Drosophila melanogaster: one gene and its partners. The protein of the gene in region 4 interacts with the protein of the main gene of each other region in a pairwise test. Each region holds a gene or a part of one and is shown on either strand. Other genes may lie near its edges.

Region 1 (8,475 bases), about 19 Mb from region 4:
CAAATATTTATATACCTTATAAACGGTAAGTAATAACCGATCGTATAATGACCAAGCTGGAAATGAGCTGCGTGACGAAAAATAACCCCTTGAACTGAAGGATCAGCAATAAATTCGAGTATTTAATAATTATAAATATATAAATGCTGCAAATTAAGAAATGATTTTGGAAATTGCCAATCATGGGCCATAAAGATCTTTGTCGCCTTAATATTTATTAATAAAACCATTGAGACAGAAAGAAAAAACAAATCACTTCAACTGATATTTATTGCTATTTGCTATGATGCTTAATATTGTTGTTTTCCCGCATTTTCCTAATGCCAAAGAATAAATCATGTCTGCTTAGTAACAGGCAACTGTTTTTAACACCCAATTGTAACTAACTATTACACCGATTAGATGAAAGCCAACAAGCTGCGACTCATTTTGATAAGATTATTACTTGATTTATAGCCCTTCCATGATTGTATTATTGCAAAATAAAGATCACTTTTTATTTATATTAAGCTTGGAAGCATTTCCCCCGCGTCCAAAGTCTAGATCCAAGTGCACTTTACGATATTATCGCAAAGTATTTCTATCTGTTTTTATTTTTATTTATATATAAAGCCATTTAACGCGTTTGCACCAAGAGACCTAATCTTTTAAAATGGATTGAAGAATGGTCGTGTCCAAGATAATTTGCTATCTGCTTAGCACTATTTTCTTTCTGAGTTCATTACCCGTCGTCTTAACGTATCATTATTCTCAGAAGAGCATCTATAGTTCTTCACGTTGAATACAATTTCCATTTAAGTTTTACTTTCGCAAGTTCAAAGAGGGGAGAGGGGAAAGCGGCATAGCCTTTTATTAAATATGTGTGACCAATCTTCTCGCTTTGCTAACTACGCTGTTTATACATAAGTAGAAATATTTTCAAATGGCCGACGGTACGTATACTTGATTTTTATGCTTGCATCAGTGTACACAAACGAAAATGTATATCGTTAAAATGTTGTATGTCATATTTTGGAAACCAAATAAATAAATCTAAAACAATCAATCGCGCTTCAAAAAATTTTGTTGTCAAACACATTATTTTTGTTTAAATATTTTCTGCATTTTTAATATTTTTTAAAATATGTGGACTTCGGAATTTTTATCTGTGTAGGGCCCTGGCTGCCATACCACGGTATCGTGATGGCTCCCATTAACGAGGCATGCTCGATATATCAGCGTAACAATGTATATATGTACATTTGTACTCTCGTGCGCATATTTGTTTGTATTTTTAGCTATTTTATTTCGCGTGTAGCACTTATACTCATGCATATGTATTAGGTACATATATGAATAAACTTAAACATTTTGCACACTTTGTTTTGATTGCCGCCTTTCCGAAATGCCGAAGGAATTTCTAAGTAGTTGTGAGCTTTCTGTTTTCATACGCTGTTTCTAAATACCAGTATTTTTTGTTGGATTTTTATATTTGCTGGTGTATTTTTAATCATTTTATCTTCTTCTTCGGGTTTCGATATATTTTAGCATAAATAAATTGACCCAAAAACAGGCTGGATGGTGGAAAATTACCGAAAACAAGTTCAAAAACCTTAAACGCACATCCCCATGCACACATACATATACATATGTAGATGCTTACGATATTTAACATCCTCAAAAGCACAAGCACACACACACACACACACGTTCACATGAGACTTTTCTTTGCACCACACAACTTGGTTACGTATACGCAGCGTTGGCCACTGCTCGTTTGCCATATGAAAAACGCTCCGAAATCGACTCGCTACACATTTCTGGGTCCTTGATACTGAACTTTTTTCATTGTGAAAGTTTTTTGCCAACGGTTCAAGGTTAGCAAATTTTTCTCAAAAATTGTTTATACAGCAATCTATAGTTCCTATCGGTCGTGTATGAGTGTGGGATAGTAGTTGGTCTGCAGTTCCCCAGAAAGAGGGCAAGTTACATTTTTTTTTTGTTTGCTTCGGGTAACAGGCGCAGAGCACACACAAATTCTGGGCTCCGTTAGCTATGTATGTACATAGAACGCCTTAAGCCCATTGATATCACATGTAGATGTATGTATGAAGAATGTACATAACATACGAGTGTACGTTTTTTAGGGGGGCATAAAAGTGTATCATGGTGGCGGCAGACTGAAATTCGTCGAAATCAACAAAGCACACGAACTCACACACACACACATGCACGTACACGAATTCTCCATCCAGATGGGCAAAGCTGGCGTTTTTGGATCAGGGCTTAGCACTTTTGGATGGGAATTTACGTGCAGCTGACTAAATTTTTGTCTCGCTTATCTCATATGTGATTCGCTCATTTAGCTTTCATCACCCGGCGAATAATCACAATTGAGATTGACAGGGTGTTAAATGGACTGAATTAGGTGATCTAAAGTTCTTAATAGTCGGCCTTAATTCAAAACAACTGCATGTTACTTAATAACACGCCCTCTAAATATGTTATCATGTCTTCATCGTTTGTTTCTTTAAGCCAGATAAGTGTTACTTAAATTCAGACGCCTTAAACTTATTTCTTTATTGAATTCCATATTGCTTTCAATCCTCTAAAAAAAACTCTCATAAAAAATCCTTAGTCATTTTATTAATTACATACACTACTTACGTATTATTATCTATAACTCTTTTAACATCAAATTAAACACACAAGCCTTCTGAGTATTAATTTACTTTGGTGCCTGATAGAATTCATATACATACAGGCACTTGAAAACAAAATAATAAACCCGGCTACTTGGCTTAACACTTCTAATTAAACAATTAAAAATATATTTTATTTTATTGTGCGCTAAACGTGGCTAATAATTCTCCATCTGTTGCTTTTTGCCCCTCTGAAAATTATCAAATTTATTCGACAAGGGCCTAGACTACATTTTATTGATAAATAACCAAGCAGACTGAAAAAACTTGAGTGTGTAATTTACAATCGCGCGTTGGCGTTTGCTATCGCCATATACTTTTTGCTAAAATGATAAGAGTTCATTCCGACTTGGGTTTCGAGACGAAAGGCCTCTGATAAGGGGCTGTACGGTATGGCACCCCCTCGATAGAGAAGATTAGACGTGTGAGCGAGCTACAGCCAACCGGCAGATTAAAGAGTTTGCCAGACAGTCCGGTTGAACAAAAGCCTTGAAAGGTAAACAACTTTTCAGCATATATCAATTAACACATCTGGCCTAATTTGAAGAATCACAAAAATAAGATACCGCGTAAAACCGACCTCTTAATACTTTCTTTTGCGCATTTTACTATCCAATCCTGTTGGCTAGGTGGACATACACGTGTGGCTCTCTTATTCGCAGATTTGTCTTGTTTATTCAAAACTACAAACTATTTTTAAGCACACAGCTTATATTTAACTTTAATGATGATGTTTGCTGCATGCATTCAAAGATATATTTAGCAATCAGAATCAGCATTTGAGAGGAAGTGTGCTCTAAGATGAAGAAGTAAATGATTGAGTGTAAATACGTTCAGTTTTAATCAATATTTGCTGTACTTAGTCCCCTTTTTTTTTGCATTTATTTACTTTAGTTTTTATTTTTATTTTTGTAAACACATTCATTTCATTGAATTTACACGTCGTACAATACGTATACCAAAGCGGAAAACTAAAAAGGCATGCTATTAAAGTTAAATAATTTCGGAATGAATAATGCAATCTAAACACCCGAAATTCGAAATATTCATCGAATTTCGGGTGTTCAAGGTACGTGCCAAATACTGAGACTAGAAGTCTTACTGATAGAGTTAACTAGCATTAATAGTATAGGGTATAGGGTACTTTCATATCATAAGCCAGTTTAAAATTGGCATTTCTTTAATGATATGTTTATATGAGTAGCAATTTCACTTGTTTTGCTGATTTCTAAATGCATTTTCACCATTTTCAGGCTCTGGTGATTTGCATCAACGGATTGCATGCACAGTGACTGGGCAATAAATTGAGGTATTTAATGTAAATACAAGAAAAGTAAGCAAAGACGAAAATAAATTCAAATACGTTTTGAATTAAATGAGAGGGAGGATGAGGGTGTGAGTAAGAGAGAACAGGCCGAGAGCGAGAGAGTGAGCGAATTATAACGGAGTGCAGGAAACAACAACACACATACACACACACCGATAAGGCAGAGTAATTACAGCAACAAAGTGTTGTAAATAAACAGCAAGGTAAATAGGAGCGAATGAGATAGTATATGCACGTGTTGACACTGAAAGCTCCCAACTTGGCACACTGACACACATATGAGCTTACATAGCAGCTATGTATGTACACACGTACATCCGATCTCTCCAAGTGCAACAATTTGATGCACAATTGCCCACCTGTCCATTTAATACCGCTTCCGAAAGTGCAACGGTGGCGTTTACGAGGGTTCATTAATTTTATGCTTATCAATTTCTGTTTCTTGCACTGTACTCCGCTTTTGTTGACTCGATTTGTTTTCTGGTTTTATCACTTTTTTCATTCCGTTGCGCCATTCAGCGGGGCAACGACAACACTAGCATTTCGCACTCGGTTGCGCGCCTTGTAATGAAAACAATAACAATAACACAAGCGCCTTTTCACTTGCACACTATCGCGGTGTCTCTTTCGGACTGACTGATGAAGCAGTGCGACCGTCCCCACCGACGGTTCCAATGTAAGTGCGAGAATTGCGCCGTTTTTTCGCTCTCAAATAATGCTCCAAGCTTCCCGTTCGTCGCTTCCCCACCCCATCTTCAACTCTTCAGCGAATTTCGCTGAGCGAGCATAAACGGTAAAATAATTACTGATTTCTTTACAAACCAGTCCTGGCAAAAGTACATACATACATAAATATGTACGTATGTATATACATACATATATTATTAACGATAAGTATTTAATATTTGAAGAACACAAAGGACATTGATGTTCAACAAATAACACTGAAGAAAATGTTGACATTTTCTAATATTCATATGTAATTTAAGAGCATAATGTGTATATATTTTTTGAATACCAATGTAAATTAAAAGTAATTGCGCACGATTTTTTTTTTGGTTAAATAAAACTAATAAAATAAAACTAAATAGACTTACTTATTATTTTTGTACGGTGTAGTTTTGATATTGAAGCTCCTTGATGCTGCCCCACTCTCTCTCTCTCTCTTTCTGTCTCTACACCTTCTGAAGCGCTCTCAACGCGCAGAGAGGAGACGGGAAGTTACGCATCTCCACTCTCAATGGCGAATGCTCCACAAACCCACAAACATCCATTGGCTGACGTAATTCATACGCACCGTTGCCGCATGCAGCTCGATTTTATGAATGGAAAGCACGACATGCAAAAGCACATTGCCACCAGGCAACAGACAAACTGAACAACAGGTGCAATTGGAGAACTTCGATCTTAATTGCTCTAATTGGAAAGTGATGTGTCGCAGTCTTGATTGCCAAGCTGCTGACTGATGGCAAAAAAACAACCTCCAGTTCAGATGTTACCTTGGTAAAAATAGACACGCACATACTATGTACGTCTGATAAGATCATGCACTAAATTTCGTTGAAATTGCGTCAGTTAAAAGCTGTGAAACTAGTGCGGACTTTTCACGCATATCCCTTGTATCAGAAAAACAAAAGCGCAAACGTGAATGGGCAACTATAAAAAGAAATTAAAACATTACCTTAATGTGGTCATATATAATTTAATTTTTTTTATTTATGTATACATATATTCTTAACGTTTCGCAGGTAAAATGCCTTAATTAATAAAAGTTTCATTCAACCGCCAGATATTTTGAAAAAAAATTGTGACGTTGCCGGCTATCCAAATAAAGATTTTAGAGCGCCATCTGTTGACTATGCTTTCCATACGTCTTGAAACTCGCCCTCTATGTGTGGGATCTTAAATATTATTATACAAATTGTAAACAAATCGTAAAACAAATACAATAAAATATTATTAGTAGTCATCCGTAGCGTAGGAACAATCCATTTTCGATAAGAAATTATAATAAATTACGGCAAACAAAAATAAAGCAAAATATATATAAGAAAATAACATCTTGGTTTTGATTTATGTATAATTACTTTATGGATAGATAACCGACGGATTTGAAATAATAAATACAAACAGTGACATAGTCTCACACTCTTAAATCCTAAGTTTTCGAATAATTTTTTTACTCTTTCTCAGCGATCAGGGGTTCGTAAGCAGACAGCGTCTGAAATCCGAGTTAGTTCAATCCGGCACTGCTCTTAGATCATACGCATACTTATAAGTTGCGTACATAAAAAGTGAAAAGTTTTTAAATTAAGTCATCATATTGCTTTCCAATACAATTTGGCTATTTGCTTATTAATAATTCAGAGTGATAATTGACCATATATTATTAACACACACTTAGTGAAAATTTATGTATTTCAAATTATCGAAATAACTTGCCATTCCAGTCCAGTTCTAGATATTTCATATGACTAATGGATATACGGATATACCCAGCTATATTTCCCAGAATTTATAATATGATACATTTTGGCTAATGGTCAAACTTTCATCCTAAGAACAGTCGAAGTTTGAACGTCCACATATTGACATGGTCGAAGTATCTGTTTGCTTTCTTATACAAGGGTTTCTACTGTCGCTGTCATTTGGGCGTGGTACGAATAATTAATAATAGTGTTGAAATAATTTGCTTTTCAGTCATCATTATCATTATCATAATCATTTTAAGAGTTCAATGAAGTTCAAAATGTGCGTGGCAAGAAACACAAAGTCGCACAAATAGCCATTTTTTTTATATTCTGTACACGTATGTATTTCACGGATCATATTTTGTTCAGTTCAGTTGCAGGTTTACAATTCATGGAAAAAGTGTGATGTCAATGAGGACTGTACACACCTTAAAGCATGCCCACCCTTGAAATACTTTCTGCAATCGGCGGATATAAGTTGGGCCAGAGAAGCAATATTGCGGGACAAACAATGTGGTTATAATAGCTACTGCTGCCGAAAAGAAGGTAAATGGCTGACCAAATCGAAGTCTTTTGCCATTATTTTCTAATTTCGAACTTTACCAGGCTATGAAAGAAGATCCAATGAACAATGCGTCATGCTCAATGACTGTCCCCAGTTTAATGGCCGGAAATGGACGAGTGATATTTTGAAATCCATAATAAATAAAATATGTTATATCGATCACTTCCAGCCATTGGTACGAAGAAGGGTCTACGTAAACTGTCAAAGACAAGGTAATGCTTTTCGTATAATACCCGATCTATCGATTACTAATTCTTAGCCCTTACAGAGATTTTTCCTTGCCAATACGATGAGATATGTAGAAGCCGCGATAGCTGCCCTTTTCTAAAGCTTAAACGGAAAAAGGCCCAGAACATATTAATGAGCAGGCAATGCGGCATTAATACCTACTGCTGTCCTAAGCAGGGTAAGTGCAAAACAAAAGTCTATCATTTAACCACTTACTAATCGAAATAGTTATAGAATTTCCAGATTGTCCAGCCGATGAAAAATGCATAAGATTGGACAAGTGTCTTCGTATCCATAATACTACGATGGAAGATGGGGCCAATTTAATGGATAACAGACAGTGTGCCATCGATACCAGAAGAATAGATTCGGATAAGCGCCACTACATCTGCTGCCCGGAACCAGGTAACGTTCTACCAACGTCCTGTGGACAAGCTCCGCCTCTTTATCGAATGGCATATGGCACAGCGGCGAGGCCAAATGAATATCCTTGGATGGCCATGCTTATCTACGAGAATCGCAGACTATCGACCATGACCAACAACTGTAGTGGCTCCCTGATTAACAAACGCTACGTCCTCACCGCTGCACACTGTGTGGTCAAGGATAAAATGGTGAACACAGATTTGGTGCTCAGGAGAGTGCGGCTGGGCGAGCATGATATTACCACCAATCCGGATTGCGACTTTACAGGAAACTGCGCTGCCCCCTTTGTAGAGATCGGCATCGAGTATTTCAATGTCCACGAACAATATTTCAACACCTCAAGGTTTGAAAGCGATATCGCCTTGGTGCGTCTTCAAACGCCAGTTCGGTGAGTATTGCAATATAAGGCATCATTTTCTGACTATTATGAACCAAAGTTTTTATTTCCTTAGATATACCCACGAAATTCTACCGATTTGTGTGCCGAAAGATCCCATCCCCTTGCATAATCACCCATTGCAAATCGCCGGTTGGGGCTACACGAAAAACAGAGAATATAGTCAGGTGTTGTTGCATAACACCGTTTATGAAAACAGATATTATTGCCAAGACAAGATATCGTTCTTCCGCAACGAATCACAAATCTGTGCTTCTGGCATTCGAGGAGAAGACTCCTGTGAGGGTGATTCCGGAGGTCCCTTGATGTTAACCCTTAATAATGATTACCAGGATATCGTATATCTGGCCGGTATCGTTTCATATGGAAGTGAGAATTGC
Region 2 (6,873 bases), on a different chromosome or scaffold from region 4:
TTATTTACGCCAAGTGAGTTTGGATTTAAAATCGCAAGGAAATATATTATTATTTTCATTATATTTCTATCCAGGCATGAAAAGCTAGCCAAGGCAATTACACTCACTGGACTAATGGGCACGATAACGTGGTCCTACGGCATTGGAATCGCCAAGAAGTTCGAGTTCTCCTTCGACTCCACCTATGCGACTGGCACTCAGATATACACGAGTCCCTTTGTAAGAGTTTTGCCCTATATCGTGGGAGCCATAGCCGCATGGTATTACCAGGAGCAGCGATTCCAAGTGAGTGAGCTGAGTGAACGCCGGATATGCCGGTGGTGGCATTTCAGTCTCAAGGTGTTCGTGGGCTGCATCTACTCTACGGTGAAGCGGGATCTGGGTTACCTTATCACCATATCGCTATTTGTTCTGGGTCGCGCTCTGTTTTCCCTCACCATTTGCTGGATGATCGTGGGCAGTGCATCGGGTACTGGCGTTTGGTGGTCACGCCTGCTGGAGGCCAAGTTCTTTCAGCATTTGAACCGCCTGTCCTACGCCATATATCTATTAAATCCCCTGGTGATTGCCCTCGTTTACAGTCTGACCAGTACGAGCTCTGCAGTTGATCCCTTTCTGCTGGTAAGTTGCATTCTCATTTGATTTTGCTTTTTAATAATATTGAGTTGTTTCTTTAGAGCGTCATCTGCTGCGGGTTTACGATGATCGTTTATCTGGCCTCCATCGCCTTTTCGCTGGCTTTTGAGCTGCCCTACAGCAATCTGTCTAGTTTGCTGCTCAAGGGAAAACCAAAAACCTCATAAACTGTGATTACCTTTCATTGTTAGCATTACATCTAAGTCATTTATTAATAGAAAGTTATGGTTATAAAATAATGTTATCTTTTATTGGAATTTTCGAATTTAGATATAATATTAAAAGAATAATATTATAGCAACGTTGCTGTTGGAATTTTTGAATTTAGTAACAAACATACTAATAATACGATATTTAATAAGTGTAGGCGCCAATGTTTTAAATTTCCTTGTGGATTCCATTGGATTCCACAACGTGTGGTGATGATTAGGTTTGCACCTTCACTAACTAATGAAATCCACACTTTTGGTTGCTTTCAAAGAAGTTAAAGGTAGTTTTGGTTGTTTTAAGTTGTAAACTGATATTGTTAACCAGCTGACTAACTTTCCCAGTTCAGAAGTATCACACATTTGAGCAATATATTTAAACGATCAACCCACCGAAGTGCGAGAAAGTGTGACCTGCTTATGTAAAAGTGATTTAGATACCGAGCTTTTCCGAACTGACTTTTCCAAAGCTTAAGGTATTTTTTATGAAAGAACCAACGGACCCACTGACAGCGTCTAAAAAAAAAGATCTTGTCCAAAATATATTGATTAGTACCACTGCCATTCTGCATTCTGCCAAACGAACCCGTTAAACAGTTTGCCCAGACCCGGATCCAGATCGAAATGCCCAAGGAAGAAGCGGAGCCATCGGCGAGTGGTCTTGCGGTGGCCGCCAAGCAAAACGATGTGCCATCCGCGGAAAACTCGAATCACAAGGAAAGCGACGCATACGCCTCCGCCTCTGCCAGCGCCAGTAGCGCCTCGACCACGCCCCCACCCGCCCAGGAAGACGCCGAGGAGGCGGAGCTGCTGGAGCGTATGCGCGGCGATGCAGTCGGCAACACCATGTACAGCAGTCGATTCATCCTGAAAACGGTGATGAGGGTGGGAGAATTACTGCGGCATTCAACACTGGATCAGCAGCTGGAGGATGACCTGTGCAAAGTGTGGGACATGTCGGTGTCCCCCGAAGTGGTCACACTGCTGCTGGAGAACGGAGCCATTGATCCGATCATGTACACCCTGGTGGCGGGCTGTGAAGATGTGCGGCTCTACGAGATTCTTATCGGACTGCTGGGCAATATGTGCGCCCAGGTGGAGTGCGCAGAGATATTGGCCTGTGACCGCTACACGTTGGAAACCCTGTTCAAGATGACATACTGCATGGACACCGCCATGTTGATACAGCTGATGCGACTCTTTCAGTACATCATGGCCCATGTGCTTAGCGGCAAGGAGAAGTTCGCTGTGAACTGGTACATCTGCTTTGCTGCCTTTGAGAACTCCGCGCAGAACCTGGGCAGGATATTGCAACTGTCCGTTAGCGATGAACTGCTAGTAGCTGCACTGAAGGCCACAAATGCTGTGCTGGCCAGTTGCGCCTTGGTGGAGGAGGAAAACGCAAACTCCACGTTGAATCTAAAGCCTTTTGCGGAGGTCTTTCTAGTGCCAGAACTCTGCGAGGGGGTCAATAGCGCGTTTTTGCGACTCATGCGCGATGATCAGACAAAATTGACCGACGAGGAAGCTGGCGAGGACAACGAAGATGCAGAAGTGCCAGCGGCCCACGACAGTGATGAAGATGCCGACGTCGGTTACGACTCGTGCGGACCAAAAATAACCTGTGATGTGGAGATCATACAAACCTACCTCAATATATGCACCATTCTGGTCCAACTGCCAGAGGCGCAGGCCTCCATGGATGTGTATGCACCCAGTATAGTCAGTTGTCTAGCGCGAATACTGCAGTTTTTGCAGCAGCCTCTGCAACTCATTCCATTAGGCGAACGCCAGGAGGAGTATCTCGAGGATCTGGCGCACATTTGGAGTGTAAGTTTGGAAAAGATACTTAATATTCGACGTTCTATTTAAATATTTATTTTTGCAGCGCCTGAAGTACTTCTATCACAAGGAGGCCTTCTTAAATCTTTTGGAATTGTGGTATAGACTTAAACAGCACATTGACAACTACACGGGGGGAAGTGATCCCGACGCCAATGAGTTCGAAGAGGACGAAGAGGAGGAGGATGACGCTCCAAAGGAGCAGTATGTGGAGAACGCCTTGAAGTTGCTGCGCCTGTTGGCATGTATGGTGATAAAAGCGGAAAACTCGGATCTCCAAGAGATTGGCGATGAAAAGGTGCAACTGTTTGTGTCTGCACTCAAAGCCGGAAAGGAAGAAGCCATTTTCTCAAGGGCACTTGAATGCTTAAAGGATAAAGTGGCTAAGGAGTCGGGCCAAGCCTAAACAACATGCCTCCATGATGGATAAAGCAAAAATGACTGAGATTGTAGCTTGCAGCACAATATATTCTTAACTTAGTTAGTCTCTGTCTTTACCTAAGGTAAATCGTCCAAGGTGCCGGTAGCCTTCAACTTATTACGCATCATATCGCTCCATGACTGTTTTCCCAGGCGCACGCCCTTGTCGCCTGTGCTGCTTACTTCCAGTCGATTTGTATTTGGATTGCTTAGCACGAATTTGTTCTTGCTCTCGTTGAGAGCATGGGCTACATGCTCCAGTTCGTTTTCCAATTTCACTTCGGGGGCTGTTACCTCGATGTGAAGATTCTGCTCTATGGCTTGGGAAATGTGTATGATAGCCTCTTCTAATAAGTTCTCGGCGTCGATTTTGTTGCTCCCCACTAGCTCAGAGAGTTGGACATTTAAATTTCCTCCTTTGGTAGTTATTTGAATATTGCCATGTACTCCAGCTGAAATTGAAAGTTTTTAGCATGATGGTGTTATTCTTCGTTGTTTCGCATACTCATATTGAGATCCGACGACTGATGGACGTGCACTTCGCTGCTTTTGTGGACATTCTTGAGCTCCAGACGCCCAGTTTGTGTCTGAAACTTTGACTTTTCCACATAACAACAATCGGTTACAATACTGCCAGCTTTGGTGGAACAATTCAAGCTGTCTCCTTGCAACTTATCCATCGCAATGTTCTAAAAAAGAAATATAAAGGTTAATAATAAGATCAGATTGATAGTAAATTTTTTCTCACCCCATTTTGTGACTCTATTTGGGTAATCTTGCCCAGCAATGTGCCCTGGCAATTGATGTTGCCATTTTCACTGTACAAGTTTATATGGGTGGCCTTGATATTTTTGGTAAGGATGCCTTCCTTTGCTTTGACTTGCAGCAGTTCACTCTGTATGCCTTCCACTCGCACACTACCTTTTGCGTCCACAGAGACATCGGAACGCACAGGTATTTGCAGATGGCATTCAAGCTTTGAGGGCTGCTCCGCCAGTTGTTTAACCACCACATTGACCACCTTGTCCTCATCGGTTACCTTCACATCGAGAGAGACATTCGAGTTCTTGACATGGCCGCCAACCAGTTGGGCGATAAACACATCCCCGCTGGTATACTGATGCACATCCGCGGGCTGGATGCGCAGGAAAACATCGGACTTCACGTTGATCCTGGCAAAGGGGTTTACATAATGCAGGATCTCCTGATGGACCATCCGCATGCTCACGGCCATGGCTGGTTTGATGTGGGCTCGCGACTTGTTCGCGTATTGGCGTAGATGGTTGTTTAAATGTGTCAACCACACGCGTTGCAGAAGCATTATAAATCCAATAAAGAAATGGAATTTATTAGATTTGTTTACTTTTAAATGCAAAATCAGCTGTGGCTGCGTATTTTGCAGTACTGTATCTAAGCGCACTACCCAGCACCAACTGGTTATCGATTGGCTACGGGCAGTAGCCAACACTGTCATCCGTCATTTTCCAGTTGGAGTTTTTCAGTGTTCTGCGACGGTTGCAGTTTTCTTGATACGCAGTTGAAAATTGTTTAGTCCAGCCAATTACCATCCGAAAAAAACAGCAAAATGTCCGGAAAAGATAGGCTACCGATTTTCCCGTCCCGTGGTGCCCAGATGTTGATGAAGGCCCGTCTGGCTGGAGCCCAGAAAGGTCACGGTCTGCTCAAGAAGAAGGCGGATGCCCTGCAGATGCGATTCCGTTTGATTCTGGGCAAGATCATCGAGACCAAGACCCTGATGGGTGATGTTATGAAAGAGGCAGCCTTCTCGCTGGCGGAGGCCAAATTCACGTCTGGCGACATCAACCAAGTGGTGCTGCAAAACGTGACCAAGGCCCAGATCAAGATCCGCACCAAGAAGGACAACGTGGCTGGTGTCACTCTGCCCGTTTTCGAGTCCTACCAGGACGGATCCGACACCTACGAACTGGCCGGTCTAGCCCGTGGTGGTCAGCAGCTGGCCAAGCTGAAGAAGAACTACCAAAGCGCCGTTAAACTGCTCGTGGAGCTGGCCTCGCTGCAGACCTCATTCGTCACCCTGGACGAGGTGATCAAGATCACCAACCGTCGTGTGAACGCCATTGAGCATGTGATCATCCCCCGAATCGATAGGACTTTGGCCTACATCATCTCGGAGCTGGACGAGCTCGAGCGTGAGGAGTTCTACCGACTGAAGAAGATCCAGGACAAGAAGCGCGAGGCACGCATCAAGGCCGACGCCAAGAAGGCGGAGTTGCTGCAGCAGGGCATCGATGTGCGCCAGCAGGCCAATATCCTGGATGAGGGCGATGACGACGTGCTGTTCTAAGTATTACCTTGGATGTGTTTATTCCAGCAATATTATTGTTAAACTATTTTCTGTTCTGTATCCGTTTCCATATTGTAATTCGCAAAGGGCAAGCCACAAACTTAATTGTACCTATGTAGCAAAAGTGTGTAGACTATTCCAATAAGCAGAAAAGTATGTATTCCATTTTTGTAGTGTAGTGTAAGCTGCGCAAATCATGCATTAAAGTCTTGTTGTATCATACGATGTGCATTCTGTGTAATAATTAAGTGGAAAAAGGGAATTTTCATTGCAAAAAGGGTCATCTGACTTGTTTTATACAATAGCAAAAGCAACAAAAACAATTGCACAGTCACATGACAGCAAACATATGTCTGATTGGAAGCAGTGTTGGACAGCGCTCGTAGGTGTTTCGCTTGCATTGGATCAGCTGTTTGCGTGGCTCTTTTTGTGCTTGCACGCTTTTTAGCCGAAATTATTTATATTTTTGTGAAACAATGACCGAGTTCCAGGCCGTAGTTTTTGCCGCTGGGCGTGGCACTCGTCTACCCGAGGTCTTGGGGGATGCCCCCAAATGCCTGCTGCCGGTGGGTCCATATCCTCTGATTTGGTATCCCTTAAATCTGCTGCAACAACACAACTTTACAGGTAATTCGGATAGTCTGAATTAAAAACCTGGATTTAATTGAAAAATATTTCAGAGGTCATTGTTGTGGTACTGGAGCAAGAAAAACTAGAGATCCAATCTGCTCTGGAAAACACTCCCTTAAAGCTGAGACTGGACTATGCCACGATTCCTAGTGACGGGGATTTCGGAACTGCCGACAGTCTGCGCTACATATACGATAAGATCAAGTCGGACTTTCTGGTGGTCAGCTGCGACCTGGTCAGCAATGTCAGCCTATATCCGCTGATCAACAAGTTTCGGGAACATGATGCCGCCCTTGCAATGCTCCTATTTCCCAGCGGATTTGAGTCGGACGTTGTTATGCCCGGTCCCAAAAGCAAGCACAAACCGGAAAGGGATTTGATTGGCATCCATGCGGCCACTCAGAGATTGGCTTTCGTATCCGCCGCCAGTGACTGCGAGGAAACACTCAACATCCAGCGACATCTGCTCAAGAACCGCGGAAGGTTGGATGTATACAGCCGACTGGTGGATGCTCATGTTTATGTGCTGAAAAAATGGGTTATCGATTATCTACGAAGGGTTAGTTTTGATATGACCTTATAGTAAATTGTTTTCTAATATTCAATCTTTGCAGAAGGAAAATATATCAACCTTTAAGGGCGAATTTCTGCCGCATTTGATAAAGAAGCAGCACTCAAAACGACCTCCTAAAACGGTGCAGGACACCACATCCGAAGTGGGCGTGGTCACCAAGAATGAGGATCATGTTTTGCATGTGAGTTACTACTTGGTATTAACAGGTTACCTTTAGTACCCGTATACCCGTATTGAAT
Region 3 (8,516 bases), about 21 Mb from region 4:
AATAAACTTCACTTCGCCGCTCGAAAATCAGAAACTGCAAGTTGTCATCATCATACGATTATTTTTTAGTATATAACAAAAACAAAAATAAAAAGCAATAGACACAGCGTGCCAAAAAATTGCTGATAAGCCCTTATCACATGGTCATATTAGACTAAGAAGTAATCATAACTGTGGGAAAAACTGATATGACTATATTGGTTGAGCAAGGTGTTAATTGCTGGGAAAAAAACGAAATCAGTTCATTATTTTCTTTTTCCCCGATTTAACACTAATTAATATTAATTCAACTGGGAGCACAGCCTTTGATAAACTCAGCGCCCCGATTGCGTCAAAATCAAGGTTAATGGATTACCTGATAATTGATAATTGCCTGAATGAATTTAATGTTATACATGGAATGACAAAACACGTGATTCCTGGGGGATGCGGCCCGTATAGAGAATGATTTGATGCATCAACAATTTCCCAAGAATAGTTGAATCAATCAAAACATGTTTACAGTAAGCAAACAAAACAATTAAACTGCATCAACATTCTCTCTACGTAAGATGAGCACGCCCACTATTAATTTGTTATTGTTTGTTTGCCATCGGTTCTGGCACCAGCTAGTTCTATATGCTAGAGAAATCTGTTGGCACAGCGAATAAATTAAAAACTGAATCGAAATGGGGCGTACGAATAAAAATTGAATCAACTTCTGCCTCTCTTCGGCGACCTTGCCACATCGCATATAGATGCGAACATATACATATGCACAAACAAACATACATATGTACATATATCATATCAAGCATATGTTAATTTATCTGACAGCAACTTTCAAGCGTGAAAAATCAAATGGAATTAACAATAAGTCAGCAGGGAAAAAGAGAATATCAAAGAGATAATGCCCCTTGATGGGCAGCATTACAACGCAAATCGACTGAGAATTGGGGGCTCGACTCGGTCTATATTTATGTGAATTTTCCTAGTACACTGCATACTGAAAAGCCAAAAAAAAAAAAATTATATTTAAATTTAAATTAGGCATCGCAGTAGGATGGCGCACCGATTTTCTGAACTACGTCAATTTCTGATACAAATATCTCTGAAATGCGCCTTGTTTTTTTGTGAGATGTTTAAGAAAATGTGTGTTTTTTTTTGTCAACAATTTATAATATATAGAGCAAAGTCCAAGATTCCCAAGAGCAAAGTACAAAAATGCAAGTAAATGTGGCAGATTTAGCCTTAAGACTATTTTTTGGCACTCAATATGTTGATTGATTTTCAAAAGTGCGAACTGCTTAAAAAATTTAGCTATTTAAAAATAGTTTCAAACCAAAATGTGTGAACAATAAAAATAAATTATTTTGGTTAGGATAACTGCTCTAATACGTCTTAAAAATTAAATATTAATTTATAACAATCGTAGTTTTCACACTTCATATTCTTTTATCTATATGTTTTCAAGATCATTTGAATGACTTATGGCACCAATTCAAAGCTCCTTGCACTATCAATCCATTAATTCTTGATTTATAGAAGGAAATTTCTATTGTCTGACTGCCCTTTATTGTCCACTTATCTTCAAGTCGCGAAATCCCGGCGGTCGAAAAATGCATAAAAACAAATCGTAAAATTGACCGATAAGATAATCCCCAGTTCGGGGCTAGCACTAAACGTAAATCCATATTGGCCAAAACAGGTGGCTAGATTTAAAGTTAGATTTATGATTGGAATGCCCCGCGCCACAAAATAACGTCACAGATAGACGCCAAACGCTTTTCCTATCGCTTAGCCATTAGAAGATACAGATTCTCGATGGTCAGCCAGGCGGAAATCAATGCGGAAGTGGATAAAAAATTCTCGGCTATTTCGATACCACGGTAACAGTAGGTCCGCATACCGTCTGTGTGTGTGCAACAAGTGGAAGGTGCACTTTTGTATCTGTATCTGCAACTGCATTAGTGCTTGTATCTGTATCTTTTTAACTGAGCCCATTTTAAGTGCACGAAGTGTGAAGTGAGCAAAGCCATTTGAATGACTCGACATGCAGGTGATACCCTTGTGACCAAGATTGTGATGATTATAAATTAAGCAGTATAATGGAAAGGCCATATATCTTAAATGTTATTATTGACTCATATAAGTCAAAACTGCTTACTTTCCATTCAAAGAGGATTGCTTGGAGTTGCGAAGATAATGTAATATTTTGAAATAATCGTTTACATTGCTCAATGGCTTGGGGATAATTTAATAACTAAATACTCAAACACTATCAGCTTAATAAAGTTTAATGAAAAGCTTCTTAGCATTGGTTGATAATTCTTTAACGATTAAATTGTAATTCGATTGCACGCGCTTTAATTTTAAGTTATCAGCTCAAGCTAAGTACTTTACTTTGTTCTACAACGCAGTTATTAATACAAATTTTTTTTCATTTTACATATTTGTAAATAGGCATCAAGTTGAAAAGATTAAATGAATCATTTTATATATACCCCAAGCCAGGGTATCCAAACTTCATTTTCGACTTCAACCTCGACGACATCTGTGGTCTAAAATTAGCACAAGCTAGGCTATAAACAAACATCGCACTTTGTGCCCCCCCTTGTGCGATCTTTTTTTCTGGTTTTTCGCTATTTTCGCCGGTTTTTTCAATCAGCCAATGCATTTCTCACCTATGCCGAGGGGTGTGCCAATCTTTCCGGAAACGTTGAGGAACTTGAATCCCATGTTGATGAAGGCTTTGCCATCGATCACCTTGCTCAGCGATCCGCTCTCGTCCAGCGTTTGTGGATTATGTGGGCTAACTGCCGAGGTGGGCGTGTTCGTTGAGGGCGTGTTCAGCGGCGTGGGCGTGGCAGTGCAGCATTTGCCGAATCCGAGCATTAAAGTCAGGAGCAGGAGATTGAAGTTGGCGCATGCGCAGCGGAACAGCTGTTCGGCGCGTCTTTTCTCGCCGAGATTACCGAATGTTACTGGAGATTTTGAGCTTGTGGTTGATTTTATGGCGGTTTTTGTGGTTTCACTTGCAGTGCTCGTAGAGCGTGACTCTATGGCCATGGTACGGTATTTTGCTTGCCTTCACTCTTCTTTTGCTTTAATTTATGCTGTCTGTTTAATGCTTTTTTCACACTTTTATCACTTCGATCTTACAAGGTTTGTATAGACACTGTATTCGATAGGGGAAAATTAAGTGGGGTGATTTCTGGTGACCCTGGTTGAATAGATTATCTAAGCAGGAAGCGTGAGATCTTCGCCAGAGATTATCTAATCAGAGAAATGGCCAAAAGAACCAGCGTCAACGTAAAAATAAACGCAAGCATTAACGCAAAAACATTGGAAGAATCGCTTGCCAGCCAAAAAATAAAATAAACACACGATCCGGCCAATTCTCTTTTACTTTCGTCTCTCTTCACATTTCTTATTTCGAGATGAGAAGACTGAAGAAACTGGTTGAAAATCGTGCGACACACAAAAACGCGACGTAGCTAAAAAAAAATACAAAAACCGAAAAGGCCGAAAAAAAAAAATTTAAGCAAAAATATCGGACAACAACAAAATCACCGAAAAATGCGAAGAGAGAAAAAAAGCAACGCATAAAATTACACAGAAAATTCATTTATATATTAAACTTTGAAAATAATTATATATGTACTTAACGAGAAATAACATTTATTTTGAGTAAAATATGGAAATTATAAACGATAAGTAAAATATTTGATAATAATTGTATATTAGCAAGAAAAACAAGTTTTCCCTTAATTTTTATAGAGAAACAAAAACGTTTCTGTTGACGTTGGCAATTAATAAAGCCGAAGTATAATTTAAAATTTAGTTGAGCGGACGGCCACGCCCCCTCCGATCGCGCAAATAAATTAATTAAATATTGTTGTTGCCGATATTTGTAGCTAGCACGCGTCAAATCGCCCGGATAAATAAACTCTTATCAGTTTTGCCTTTTATTTTGATTTATTTTTGCGGTATTTTCAAGGTGTCTGCGAATGTGCGGCACGTGCTAATCGCGTCTTTCCAAATTTATTTCAGAAACAGATCATTGCATTTAAATCTGTAGAATGTTTGAATTACATGAGGTTTGTTTTTATTTCGCTTTGTTTGTTTCTTTTGTGTTTTTTATTTGGTTTTTAAGTTGAAAATAAACCGCAAAAAACTGTGATGCCCGTTTCGCACAACGCGCCTTTTTCAACTGAATTCGCTTAGAGAATTGGCCTGCAAATTTAAGCGAATCGCCAGCGATTTTAATTCGAGAGCCGAGAGTAACTGTCGTTTGCGATTGTGCTTGTTTTTGCACCGTCTTAAGGTGGCCTTATCAAAACTGACAAGAAACTGACCAGACCCCGTCGAAGAGATACATAAAGAGTGATCTGGCAGATCGGAGCACTCTCTGAATTTAATCGATGCTGTATTCCACTCTTAGCTCCCCAAAAGATTACTAACGTACAAGGTGCTCTTAAGGCAAACCAGTTGATCAGTGATCAATGGAGCGTACGTTGATGTGAATGGATAGATTGGGCAAGGAATCGTTGGGCGATCTATAGATACAACTATTACAGAAGCATTGTTTAAAAACTACAAGAATTTTAAATGCTTCTTCAACTGAGATAATTTATTTAAAAAACAAAAGCAACATGCTAACGAATCCCAGCTATTAAGAATCGATCAATCATTTCTTAAGTTATAAACCTACGCCTTAGAAATTAAAGTATTTTTTATGATAAGGGATCATACTACTTTCGGAATATTGCGACTGATTTCACAACTAGACAGAATTCCGTGGAAATATATTGAATAAGTAGTGATAATTATCTTGTCGTAATGCCAAGAATCCACTTTAATTTAAAAATACGTTTTGTTATTTTATACTCAAGTTGGGCAAATATCCCCTGAGAAAGAAAAAGAAGGACTCAAGTGCTAACTTGAGAATGATGTTTGCGAACCAACAAAGGTTATATAGGGTAATCGCACAAAGTGTACTTAGATGTACATGTAATTGGTCAGCCAATTATTCAATCTGATATTAAAGTCTAATTAAAAATAAGTGGTTAAGGGCTCCGAATTAAGAGCAGTTTCAGACCTCGGAAAAAATCCTATTTTCTACAGTACCAACCTGAATGTAAGGAAAACGCCAAGGAGATCACAATCAGCACACAGAGATCACTTTTAAACATCGTACTGTACGAAAATACGTTTTTCAGACTGTATGTATCTAGACTTCCTTTTTGCGTTGCCACCGCGTTTATCAGTGCGAAAAACAAAGATATTTTTTAATTAAGCTGGACAACCGGACGTGAGAATTGTGCCGATAATCGTACGACAGTCGTGACGTTCTGCATGGGCCCACCGAAACTATATCCAGGTATCAAATAGGTATTTTGAATATACTTAATTCTTTTGATTTTTTTTTGGGACCCGGAAGGTTTTACGGTGTGATGCCCAGCGAAGACCGATGCGAACTGAAATGCCTTTCGGCGATTGGTAAACGGAATCGCAGCTCATTAGCATTGAAAGTGTCGCCGCTTTCAATCAAACCAGGTGTGGGTCCGATTGAAAGTGGTGTGAAATTCGAAATTGAACTGGAGTGTCGTGGATTTGATTTCATTGGCTTTTGGCTTGGTTAGAGTTGCGTTGACTGACGTCGATGATAAGAGGCGGTGAAAAATCGCAGCCAGCGGACAATGGGTTCGGTTAGGGTCAGTCATTTAAAATGCGTCATCTTCAAAACAATTATCGGCACTAGCAGCATCCCAGTACCAATGGAAATCTCAATCAAACCCGCAATCACAATCACCATCATATCAGCCATTAGATTGCATTGCAATCACCATCGTCATCGGTGCTTGGGCGTCATCTGCATTTGTCATGGATTCTCCGGCGTAACGGTCCACTTGAAATGGGCATAATTTATGATTTGCGCGTGTAAATCATTTTTCAAGCACCACCCCGCGATGCTTGTGAATGACAGAGCCGTCGGAAAACCCCCACCAAACCAACGCCCCTGCCAACCATTCTGTATATTTTGCAGTGCGCCGCCGTCTCTAATTGCAGGCGTTGGAAATCGCTGGCGAATCGCTCGCAAATCGCCTAATCAAGCACTTCAATTGACACTGCATTTTATCGCCCTGCAGCCCCGTGCCGTGTGTTCAAGTTTTGTCGAGTGTGAGTTTAGGAAAACATATGTACATATATATATACACCAATACATACATATGTGTCTATTGTGGTTTTGGCAGGCGTGAAGGGCCAGCCCATCTATCAACTATCGCTTGGCCAGATAATGATCAGTGTTCTTTAATCTTTAAGTGGCCTGACTGTAATCGCTATTTTCGGATACCGAAACAGGAGTCCCTTGGCTATATAATTTAAATATAAGAAATATTTTAAAAAAATCGAATTAAGCGAGCAGAAATATTAATAACCATCGCAACATAAAAAACTAATTAGTTTTAGAAATAAACGATCATAAAAGTTGTCGTATTTATTGAAAATTCATGATAATTAGGTAAGACTGTAGTTCCACTTGAACTAAATTAATATTTTAAGTGCATTGATCGAGTAATTCCAAAGCGGAAATTCTGACTTAAGTCTTTATCAAATTAAGCCCAAATTCCATACGCCCTTTCTACACTTTCAACACCAGGGCATTATACGAGCAGTTGGGAATTACATGACCCAATGTTTGCTGTTGTTATGGCAAAAGTCTCGATTTGGTCTACGTATAGACAATGTCTGAAGATCTCAACTCGGTGGCGTCTACACCTCATTTGTGGTAGGTCTAATTGAACTTTGCTGCGATTTTCCAGGGAATTCGTTAGTATTGTTTGCACTGATATACACTGATTATTATTTTGTTTGCGTTATGAACACTTTGTGTGGTCCTTGCACTTCACAGTTCATATTATGCATTGTATCTTCATTATTTTATTTCTTAACACTTTGTTGGTTCCGATCCACTCGACTATCGACGCGGTTCTGAAAGTTCGTCGTTGGTTTTTTTTGTGTAGTGGATATGAAGTGTCTGTCTCTTTACCATTTCCAATCACATCACCCCATAGGGGGTTGCTTTAATTACCTATTACCATATTTGGCTAATTAACATAGTGCAGTGAGTTTGATTAAAAAAACGTCAAACGCATTAGGTAGAAACGAAAAGTTTTCCACGCGTTTCTTTTTACATGCTTTTTTTCTTAGATAAGAATTTTAGAAATAGTTTTTCAACATTTTTACATATATTCTCACTTTTTAAATACTTTGTGAAAATTTTAACAAGCAAATATATTTTTCTATGATCGTATGGAAGTAACAGTGGCGCGGATGTTATCGAAAATTCAAATGGAATATATTTTCGAAAGTCGCGCGCGATTGGAAAAAGTCTTCGAATCCGAATGTAAACAGCGAATGAATGAGCGAAGAAGTAACGGTAAATTTCACATGTGCCAAATGACAATAGAAGTCGCCGACGCAGCAGCCTCTGCCACAGCCGGCGTCGCAGTCGCAGCGACCGCGGCGCATTAGCAGAGGTTTTCCCACCAAACGAAACAGTTGTGGATGCTGCTGGAAAAGCGCTGTTAAGCCACTGCTAACCGCTTAACAGTGAGTGTTGCGCAGCGGCGACGTCAGCGTTATCGCTCATAAACGTCATTCAATGGCCATATCTTTATGGGCGCTACTGCTTCGGGGTATTCGACTATGTGTGTGTGTGTTTGTCTGCCCAGCGAAGCGTTGCTAAATATGAAAACATAAAAATTAATGTTATATTTATAGTGTGGCAGCAAAAGTTGCGGCAGGAGGCGTTGCGGTCGCTGCAGGGCAGCAACAACCATACAAGCAGCACCACCAGCAAAATCAAAAGTAGTAACAGAAGCAAAAGGAGTAGGTACACTGAGCGAAAGTTATGTAACTTATTAGCTGAAAGATACTTTTGTACTGCTGAGATGCATTTGTATCCAAAAGATACTTTGTATTAACAAGTCTGTGGTAAGTTTTTGAAATCGTATATGGGTCATTCCTAAAACTAAAGGTTCATTGAAAGTAAACACAATTATTGGTTTTTGTACATGTACAGCCATTGTTTAATGTTCATTATTTATTATTTATTTAGCAATGTTATTTTTCTTGTTTCCTTTCCAAAAAGTAGTATAATACATTTTCCCCTTGTGCACCAGTAGTACTAAGTCCTGGCCAAGTGTCGGCTGTTGGCTTTTGCTGGCTGGTATTTGTTGGTAGTATATTTGCTTTGCCCCGCGGCGACTTGGTCTGGTCGCTTCTGCTACTTTCCACTCACCCAACTATTTGTAGTGTTGCCAGAGGACATTGGCGTGGCGACGGGAGGAGAAGTCAGCAGTTTATCCCTTTTGAATTTCAATAAGCAGGACAAAATATTTTCAACCATAAATCGTTAAAAATAAGTACATATATGAATTGGCAGTGGTTACTCGCTAATGGCAACGGATTTTTAAATTTTCAACTATGTGTAAGCATTCAGTTTCCTATACTATCTCAAAATATATACA
Region 4 (8,023 bases):
CTTATAAATTGCATCTTTATGCACTATAAACATTAATTTACTTGCCATTTAGCTAGACGCACAGTTAATTGAAAACAACAATACCCAGGCAGCGCATCAGAGGCAGTGGCCACATCACACGCCCCCATCCCGCCCCTTTTGGCCATAATGCAGCGACGGCGGCAGCGCAAACAACTTTAAATTATGCAACGAATAGGAAATGCAGCGTACAAAAATTGCAGCCATCGTGAAACTTTCACTGGGGGCGGGGAAGTAATGCCAAATTTAATTGCAATTAATGCGCAGTAAAGCGGAAGTGCCATAGAAACGAGGCAGCGCGTCCATGCTGCGCGGCCGGCATTTCCGGTTGGCGCCATGTTGCAGCCGGGTGGCTTGGAGTGCGCCCGGGTGGCAAGCCCGATGTGTAAACAGGAATGCTCTTCCCGGTTCTCGGTTTAGCCCCAGGGATTAAACTAATTGGGTAACGAGCTCTCACTTTTGTCTTTCCAGCAGGTGTTTAGTCCACTTCTTTATATTTATATATCTCAGATGAGAACTACTCCAAACTAAGCTATATTTACGGTCCATAATGAGTAGAGGTTGATCAGAGGTCTTTTGTAGACTATTTCACTCCCACGTAATTCGTATATTAATAGAAATCCAATTTATGATGTTTCCAGTGATAAAGGCTTAAAGTTCAAGATTAAAATGATATAGAGCACAATTAGTATCTACTGATAGATTCCTTTTTAAAAACAATTAAAACTATTACGAAATAGATTGAGATTGTATTGATTGATGCTTTGTATAAAAGCATACCACACTCTTTCTACAAAAATTGCGGAAAAGAAAATTAAATGGGTAAGAACATTGCGTGTATATCGATCACTGCATCAAAAGCGCGCTTAAAATATTTTATGTTAAATGAACCAGTTGGCCATATTTAATTGTGTTGAGTATTGAATATATTATTTTCCAGAACAACAAACAAAGAGCAGTCAGAGCAAGAACACTACAAAGATGAACTAAACTGAGCCTTGAGCCCATATACCCCAAATCCGTGACCCAAAATATTCAAATGGGCCGTGCGGAAACGGATGCACAAAGTAAGAAATCAAGTTTAAAGGGCCCCTGCCGTTTTCGTTTGGCAACATCGTTCGAGCCGCGTGACACCCGATTTAGGGATGGGGAGTCCGAGTTACATGCTACCTGGTTGCATTTACCTGGCGCCGTCGCGAAATTCAATTACTCGTGCACCATAAACCGATTAACTTATATAAATATTTATATCGCTGAAATGCAGTCGGTCGCCAATGGCTTTATGGTTCGTGCCGCCCGTTTGAAGGGCGCTTCCGGTGGGCGGTGGGGGCGGTTTCGTTGTAACGGGGCGTGGCCTATCTGTGGGCGTGCGCCTGCATATGCAAACAGTTTTCCGGCGCGGCGTCGGGGTCGTTGGTCATTCAGAGAAATGGAGCTGCGGCGGCAATAATTTCATTTGCATTTGCATTTGTTGCCGTTTATGGTCCACTCAAGTGATGTCAGTTGTCCGACCGGGTCCAAGTTCCCCCTTTCGACCCCGCTCGGTTCACACTCCAAGTGTTTAATGATAACACGCTAGGTGTCATCCACAGGCAAGGACCCTCGAGGCTAGGACATAACAGAACTGAACTCAACTGAACAGAACTGTGTAGAACAGAAACAGCAGGCCGGAAGGCATATCATTACAATGCGGCGACAGTGGGCCGTTGCAGTTGCCGTTCGGTCGTAGATACACTGGGAAAAACCACTCATATAGTGGTCATTAATTCGGAAACAGTTGTACAGACAACTGCCGAAGATTTTCCATTTAGGTTGGCATCTGCTGCTATCGATCCCAGTTTCTCTCTGTGTACTGTAGAGCATGTAGGTGGCAAGTGGCAACTACTTGTCTCCATAAATAGTTGCTAAACAGCAATGGGCCCGTGTAAGTGGCTGATGCGACGAGGAGCGAGTAGGTTCCATCCCAGGCGCCGCACGTCATTGGAGGGGACAGGACGCGGACAGCGGCAGTCAAGGGTTAATCTCGAGTTAAGTGATGCACTCGACCTCCGCTGCTTGGTGTCTGGTTAATTGAGTTACGCAGAGCGGCGCACTGCAAGGCGAACTTTGATTGCCATGTCACCAGGGTTTTGGGCTATTTGTTGTCGGGCAATGTGCATTGTGTGGCGTGTGTTAGTCGCATGAATTAAGTGCCTAAGTACGGCACTTGGTTTACATCCGAACGCACAAGTCTGTTCAACAATTATGATTGTGTGGGCCACAAATCTGGCCTTCCTGTTCGGCTGGGACTGTCATCAGGCTGTCATCAGGTTGGATAATTGAAAGGACTCGTGGAAGTGCCGTGTAAAACTTCTTAATACTCTTAATAAGCCAAGCCTTTGCAGTAATTAAATATTTGTTAAAATACTAGTGTGTAACGAATCAAAACTATATGATTTCACTTTTCGATTATTCCTGTGGCTGCTTGTGATATTATGGTCCAACTTAGCCTTATTTACCACCAGCAGCAAAAATAGAAGTTGTGGGAAAGATTCATGCCATATGAACATGACTCTATCGACTAGGATATTATTACTGATCAAGAATATGTACTTTATAGTAAAATATATATGGTCGGCAAAGTCTTTTTCACTGCGTATTAAACTTATGTCTGAAATCAATATAATATATACGGTATAATATTTATACAAAAGAAAGACTGGACATAACCATCGTTTACTTTGCAAACTTTATGAAACTATTTCTCAGTAATTTTCGTTCTTAATTTAACATTAATGAGGCTTTTATGATTAAGCTTTCTAAAACCACTATATTTAATACGAAGTTGAGAACATCATTACATCATCTTTCACCAAGATAGTTCGCTTGTACTTTTACACTTTCGTCACCTGAATTCCGAGCTCCATCGTCCATCGATTCCCCTACAGTGCCCAGTGGCGTCCGTGTTTCACCTGCAAGCTCAGCAGGAGTCGCTGTAACCGCTCCTTTCCCTCGTATAAGCTTCTTTGCTTGTCCAGCCGAAGGGTCACCAGGCGGCGCTGTAGGTGAGTCAGCTGCTCCCGGATCCACACGTGGTTCGCCTGCAGGCGCAGCACCATCGCTACCAAATTCTCAGGCTGACCCACTTTCTCCAATTCTCCGTGCTCATCCATGTCCTCGCCGAAGTCCAGTTCCATATCTATGCCTGCGACGGCTGTGGAATGCGCGTCCATTGTGCAACTGATGTGTGCTACACAGCAATGGTAAATTGTTATATTGGTAATGAATATACATACATATGTCAATTGAACAAAATATTTTTGAAAAATTTTAAACACATGTTGGAAGTAGAGCCAAGCAAATACATACTATGTCCTATTCTATATAGTTGTGGGAGTCCCAGTTTTTTTCAGTGTGCGTATCTGCTGGCGACAGAAGCGGAAACTTGGAATAATTTAAGCGTGCCAACTGGGTGGCAAACTTCCATCTAATCGCTTAATTCCGAGTTGCAAGAACTTTGGGCCCAGAATCCAGCATTCCATGCCGGAAACCTATACGCAAAAGATTTCCGCAGCGAGTGAGTGCAACTTTTTCTAGTTGATTGACTTGGAAATTGAACATTTGCTCCGTGTTTGGTTAAGATGTCTTGTATTTTTTGCCCAGCTAATGCCCTCGATTGGTTGTGAGCAATGCGCAGTGGTGCGTTCGTAAAATTTTCAAATCGTTTGGCCTAGTGGAAAGCACGAAAGGCTGGAAAGGCGGGAAAGCGGCAGCTACTTGAGGTGGCTCAGACCGAAATTGCTTTTCCGCACCCTGGCTCGACCGAGCAGAAAAATGCCAGCCCTGCTGACGCTGCCCCCGGAGTTCGATTTCGCACTATCGATTCATTTGGTATTCATTGGCCTCGCTCGCTCTCCACAGCTTAAAGCGCTACATGTCGCCGCAACTTAGTGCCTTTGTTTCCTTTGTGCGAGTACGAGTTGCATTGCACCCGGCCGACCCAGTTGCATCGTTTGGGGTTCCTTTTCGGGCGGCGCAGCGCCGTCTGAATCGTAAATTGGCAGCACGTTCCACACGGAAAAAAATATTCGGATGTCAGGCATTCACTTTACGGATGACCGAAAATTTGGCGGATGACCGGAAATTAAAGTAAAGTTCGAAAGAAATCTAAATGATATCCTAAGATATTTGACGGTATTTGAGCACTTTGGAAAAATGGTCTAAAATCATGAATGCATTTCGCCAAGTGCGCACTGCATAGCATAGCAATTTGCTGCGACTCCACTACGACTGTGATGCTAATGATCAAGCATCTCGTCGAGAGACAAGGCCAACGGCTCTTGTCAAAAGAATGTGAACTGGGCGGAATGGTGGTGGAAATTGCAGCAGTTTTCACTTTTCCTTTGCCCGGCGACATCTTATGCACAGAAAACGCCTTAGTTGCGGTGTTGTGGCCGCCAGCCGTGCGTATGCGTAATATTCGAGGAATGTTTCGCATTTCCTTCTAACCGAAAAGTTTGACAAGCTGTCTATTTGCTGGGGAGTGTGCGTGTGGGCAGGCTGGCTGTTTGTTTTCTATTTGTGGTGCAGGCACTTGAGGCTATTTCTGGATAATACGCATGCGACATGTTGCCAAGGCGAGGATAAAGCCCAATTTTAAGGCCGTCCGAGCTTTGCGGAATAGCACTGATGATGATTGCAAATACGGAGTGGCTCATCTCTCACCTTTGACTTTAAACAATTTGCCAAACAACGTTTTAAATAAATTTTAAAAATCGATAATGGATAACTACTGCCTCTGTTAAATTAAGATTAATTATAAAATTTACTTATTGTCATACTTTTTTAAGACAGATTGTAAATAAAAAGAGAAAAAAAAAATAAAAAAAAAATCGAGCACAACAAAATCCACGCCTGCTGCTTTCATCCTGACAGGCTAATTGAAAATCTATGAACCTAAGTTTAAGCCTGCAACCCTTTCCATTGCCAGTTGCATCTCTATCTTGGCTTTTTCTGGATGTCTGTTGATATTCAGCCTGCCGGGATTGGCAACTTAATTATTTCAGCGGCACGTCGCCGGCAACTGGCGCTTAAGCCAGCCACCCGACGGTTGCAAAAGCGAAAAACGGGCGGCACAATGAAAAGGAATAAGAAAAGCTGTGATATAAACAGCGCTTTCAGAATGCAACGTCAGTGAAGGGGAAGAAGAACAACAGCTGCTTCTGGGAATCCGCGCCGAAGGATAAAGTTGCCAGCCAAAGGATTTTACTACACATCTGGCTAAAGAAACGGCACGAGAAAAACTCAGCGAACGATTGTATATCATTGTATATCTGTGCATATCTGTGTGTGTCCGGCTCCCCATTAGCACCAAACGACTTCTGCCACGCCCACTTACTTCCGGCCCACCGCATAGTGCTATGCCACAGCAAAAGTCGAAAAAAGCCCCACTTGCGGCTTTATTCATGGACTTGATTCATTAAGAGACATTCACATGCGAGCATTCCCATTTACAAACAAACAGTGGAACTTCCATTAAAATCTATTTTAAATTTAGGAAAGCCATGTTTTTATGTGTGTCGTTTCACGGAATGAAGGCACTGAATATTTAAGTTCTGTAGAATTGTTTTAAGATTTATAAGAAAAAAGGCTTTATAATCGGATTCATGTTTTTAGCTTACGAATACAGGACAAATAATTCATAATTCTGAAATGAATCTCTCTCAAAGATCAACAATTTATTAGGTAAATAGATTTCCAGAACACACCTACTCATAGTTGCCGAGTATTTTATATTTCTCGCGTAATATCTGCGCTTCCCCCCTTTCCAATGACTTTGGAAACTTTGACAGGGCAAAAGTAATTAATTTTCGGCAGCTAACTCAAAAAGACAACCAGCGAACGGCAAAAAGCTGAAAAGGTTAAAAAAAAGGCAACACAGGCGGCACAATTAACGCCTGCAACTTTAATTGCGTTTTAATGTGAATCAGGCCGCAGAAAAGCTGCCTGTTTGGATGCTTTCACGATGGCTCGATGGGCGGAGGGTGGCTGGTGGTGGGTGGCGGATGGCTAAGTGCACGGCTCGAACCAAGCGGAGTGGGTGGTTCAACGTGCTCTGTCAACCGCAGGCGGGGGCTCAAAAGCGTAACAAGCATTGGCCGCGCCTCAGCAACATGTCCGTCGTCCTGCACCCACACACACACACACACACACTCGTACTCGCACTCACACACTCACACTCGCAAAGGAGCGGAGACAAACGCACACGTGAATTCGTCCTGTGACTATGGGCTCTGCAGTCCGGACTACGGGACTATGGGACTATGGGACCACGGGACTCCGGATGCTCCTGTGTGTGGTCGGCCTGTGCCTGAGTGCCTGCCTCAAAAGCAGCTTAACAAACTCACACGGACCAACATGCAGCCACAAGGCAAGGCGCACTCGAAGGAAAATTCATGTTATTCATATTATTATCAATACTCAAATATTTACTCTGAAATATAATAATTGGTAATGTTTTGTGGTACCCTGTACAGAGCCATAAACCTTATTGTTACCCAAACCAACCAAACTTACACTGCTCGAAATTTTACTTAAGGAAATGAATTTGGTTTAATAAAAGAATACGAATAATTTTACAGTGTAATCAGTTTTAGTAAGCGAACGATGTGACGAAACAGTGTGATCTGCTAATAACTCGTAATCAAAATTTCAAAGAATCCGAACTGCCCATCTAGTTAAAGACGTGAAAACGCACAAAAGGAGTATATGCTTTTTTAAGCAGTTGTGCTCTTTTCTATTAAATGTCCCAAAGGCTTTTTATCATTTTTGCTTTCCAAACTTAAAATGGGAATCCTCCAAATCGTTTTCCTGAGTGCACGGACTCGAATCCGCACCCGGAAATCGGGCAAAACCGTGTGCCTCTGTCGGGGCAAACTATTTACATGGCACCCATTATGTCCGGACTTGTAGCTGCTTCTTTGTGATGTCGCCAGCCTGGTTCCCCCTTCCAATCGCCCGTCCTAAGTGACGTGATTTAAATTTGTATGCCCTTTGAAATCTTGCTCCGCTTATCGCTGCGTGGATGCATCCATCTCCATCCGACCCCAAAAGGGTGGCCCTCGGTCCGCCCGGAGCTCCTGCACGGATGTGCTTCCGGCGGGCACGGGACAAATCACGTAATCTGGCCTTAGCGGGTCAAGCAGCAGAAGCGGCAGTAAACTGTTGAACCGTAGCCGTAGCGTAGCAGCCCGCACGGCGAGATACAAAGATACTTGGCCGTACAAGTAAATAGACATAAAGATACACGACATGAAAACCACTGTCAACATGGAGTCACATGCTGCTAATGTCGAGTGTGGTGCGACTTGCGGACTAGCACAATTCCCGAGCACATCAGGCAAGTGGAGGGTGCTTCCCTTCAAGGGGTTCGACCTAAAAATACTCTCTAGCACAAATCGGCTTTGAAAAGGGGCACACAATAGTTGGAGAAGAAGTGCCCAGCGAAAGTTGTATTGGGCTACATCTTTTGTGGTTAAGTTAATATGTCATTAGAGAGAAATTTCAAAATTATAATATAGTAAGGAAGGGAGCACAATTTAGATCCCCTCTTTACAAGCCATTAATTTGTTTTTACCTAACAGCCCACAATATTCCATTAACTGAATAGTGCACCATATTACTTTTCAGACCGCATCGAACTAGTTATTTTAATTCCCTTTATACGCATTGTGACATTCCGAGCATAGAAATTATTTCTTCGTAAGTCAAGTTCTCTGAAAAGAGCCCTGCTGTTCATTGGAAACAATTCCCTAGCTTGTCATCCCTTCACCTTGTTATGTTTCTGGGAAAAGCAGCTCGGAAAAGAAAGTGATTTTTCTGTGTGGTTGCTATACGAGTATGCGGGGTTATTAGTTGTGGCTTTCCACGGACTTTGAAGTGCACACTTCACTGGGAAATAGTTCTCAATTAACCCGATTAATAACATGGAATTTGTGGTCAATTAAGCCTCAATTAAAGAGTGACT

Evidence for each region.
Region 1: the proteins of CG12589 (region 4) and CG10365 interact in a two-hybrid assay, tested with the Drosophila melanogaster proteins (one large-scale study listed by BioGRID).
Region 2: the proteins of CG12589 (region 4) and Vha36-1 interact in a two-hybrid assay, tested with the Drosophila melanogaster proteins (one large-scale study listed by BioGRID).
Region 3: the proteins of CG12589 (region 4) and LpR1 interact in a two-hybrid assay, tested with the Drosophila melanogaster proteins (one large-scale study listed by BioGRID).

What each region holds. Positions count from the first base shown.
Region 1 is NT_033777.3:23,719,551-23,728,025, reverse strand, and holds the start of CG10365 (uncharacterized protein), read right to left. Parts: upstream 4,696-8,475; 5' UTR 4,368-4,695; exon of another isoform or gene 4,297-4,367; intron 1-4,296. Other genes in the region: CG10232 (uncharacterized protein), read left to right, coding at 6,602-6,665, 6,849-7,025, 7,086-7,256, 7,313-7,450, 7,507-8,086, 8,151-8,475.
Region 2 is NT_033778.4:15,536,848-15,543,720, forward strand, and holds Vha36-1 (vacuolar H[+] ATPase 36kD subunit 1), read left to right. Parts: upstream 1-4,587; 5' UTR 4,588-4,689; coding exon 4,690-5,430; 3' UTR 5,431-5,651; downstream 5,652-6,873. Other genes in the region: CG30471 (uncharacterized protein), read left to right, coding at 1-13, 75-621, 678-803; CG30467 (uncharacterized protein), read left to right, coding at 1,467-2,672, 2,731-3,090; CG8187 (uncharacterized protein), read right to left, coding at 3,183-3,556, 3,610-3,793, 3,853-4,425; eIF2Bgamma (eukaryotic translation initiation factor 2B subunit gamma), read left to right, coding at 5,907-6,057, 6,111-6,619, 6,675-6,815. UniProt on the Drosophila melanogaster protein: Subunit of the V1 complex of vacuolar(H+)-ATPase (V-ATPase), a multisubunit enzyme composed of a peripheral complex (V1) that hydrolyzes ATP and a membrane integral complex (V0) that translocates protons.
Region 3 is NT_033777.3:25,756,129-25,764,644, forward strand, and holds the start of LpR1 (lipophorin receptor 1), read right to left. Parts: upstream 4,195-8,516; 5' UTR 4,075-4,194; intron 3,158-4,074; 5' UTR 3,049-3,157; coding exon 2,664-3,048; intron 1-2,663.
Region 4 is NT_033777.3:5,134,248-5,142,270, forward strand, and holds CG12589 (uncharacterized protein), read right to left. Parts: upstream 4,743-8,023; 5' UTR 3,367-4,742; intron 3,327-3,366; exon of another isoform or gene 3,248-3,326; 5' UTR 3,231-3,247; coding exon 2,940-3,230; 3' UTR 2,810-2,939; downstream 1-2,809.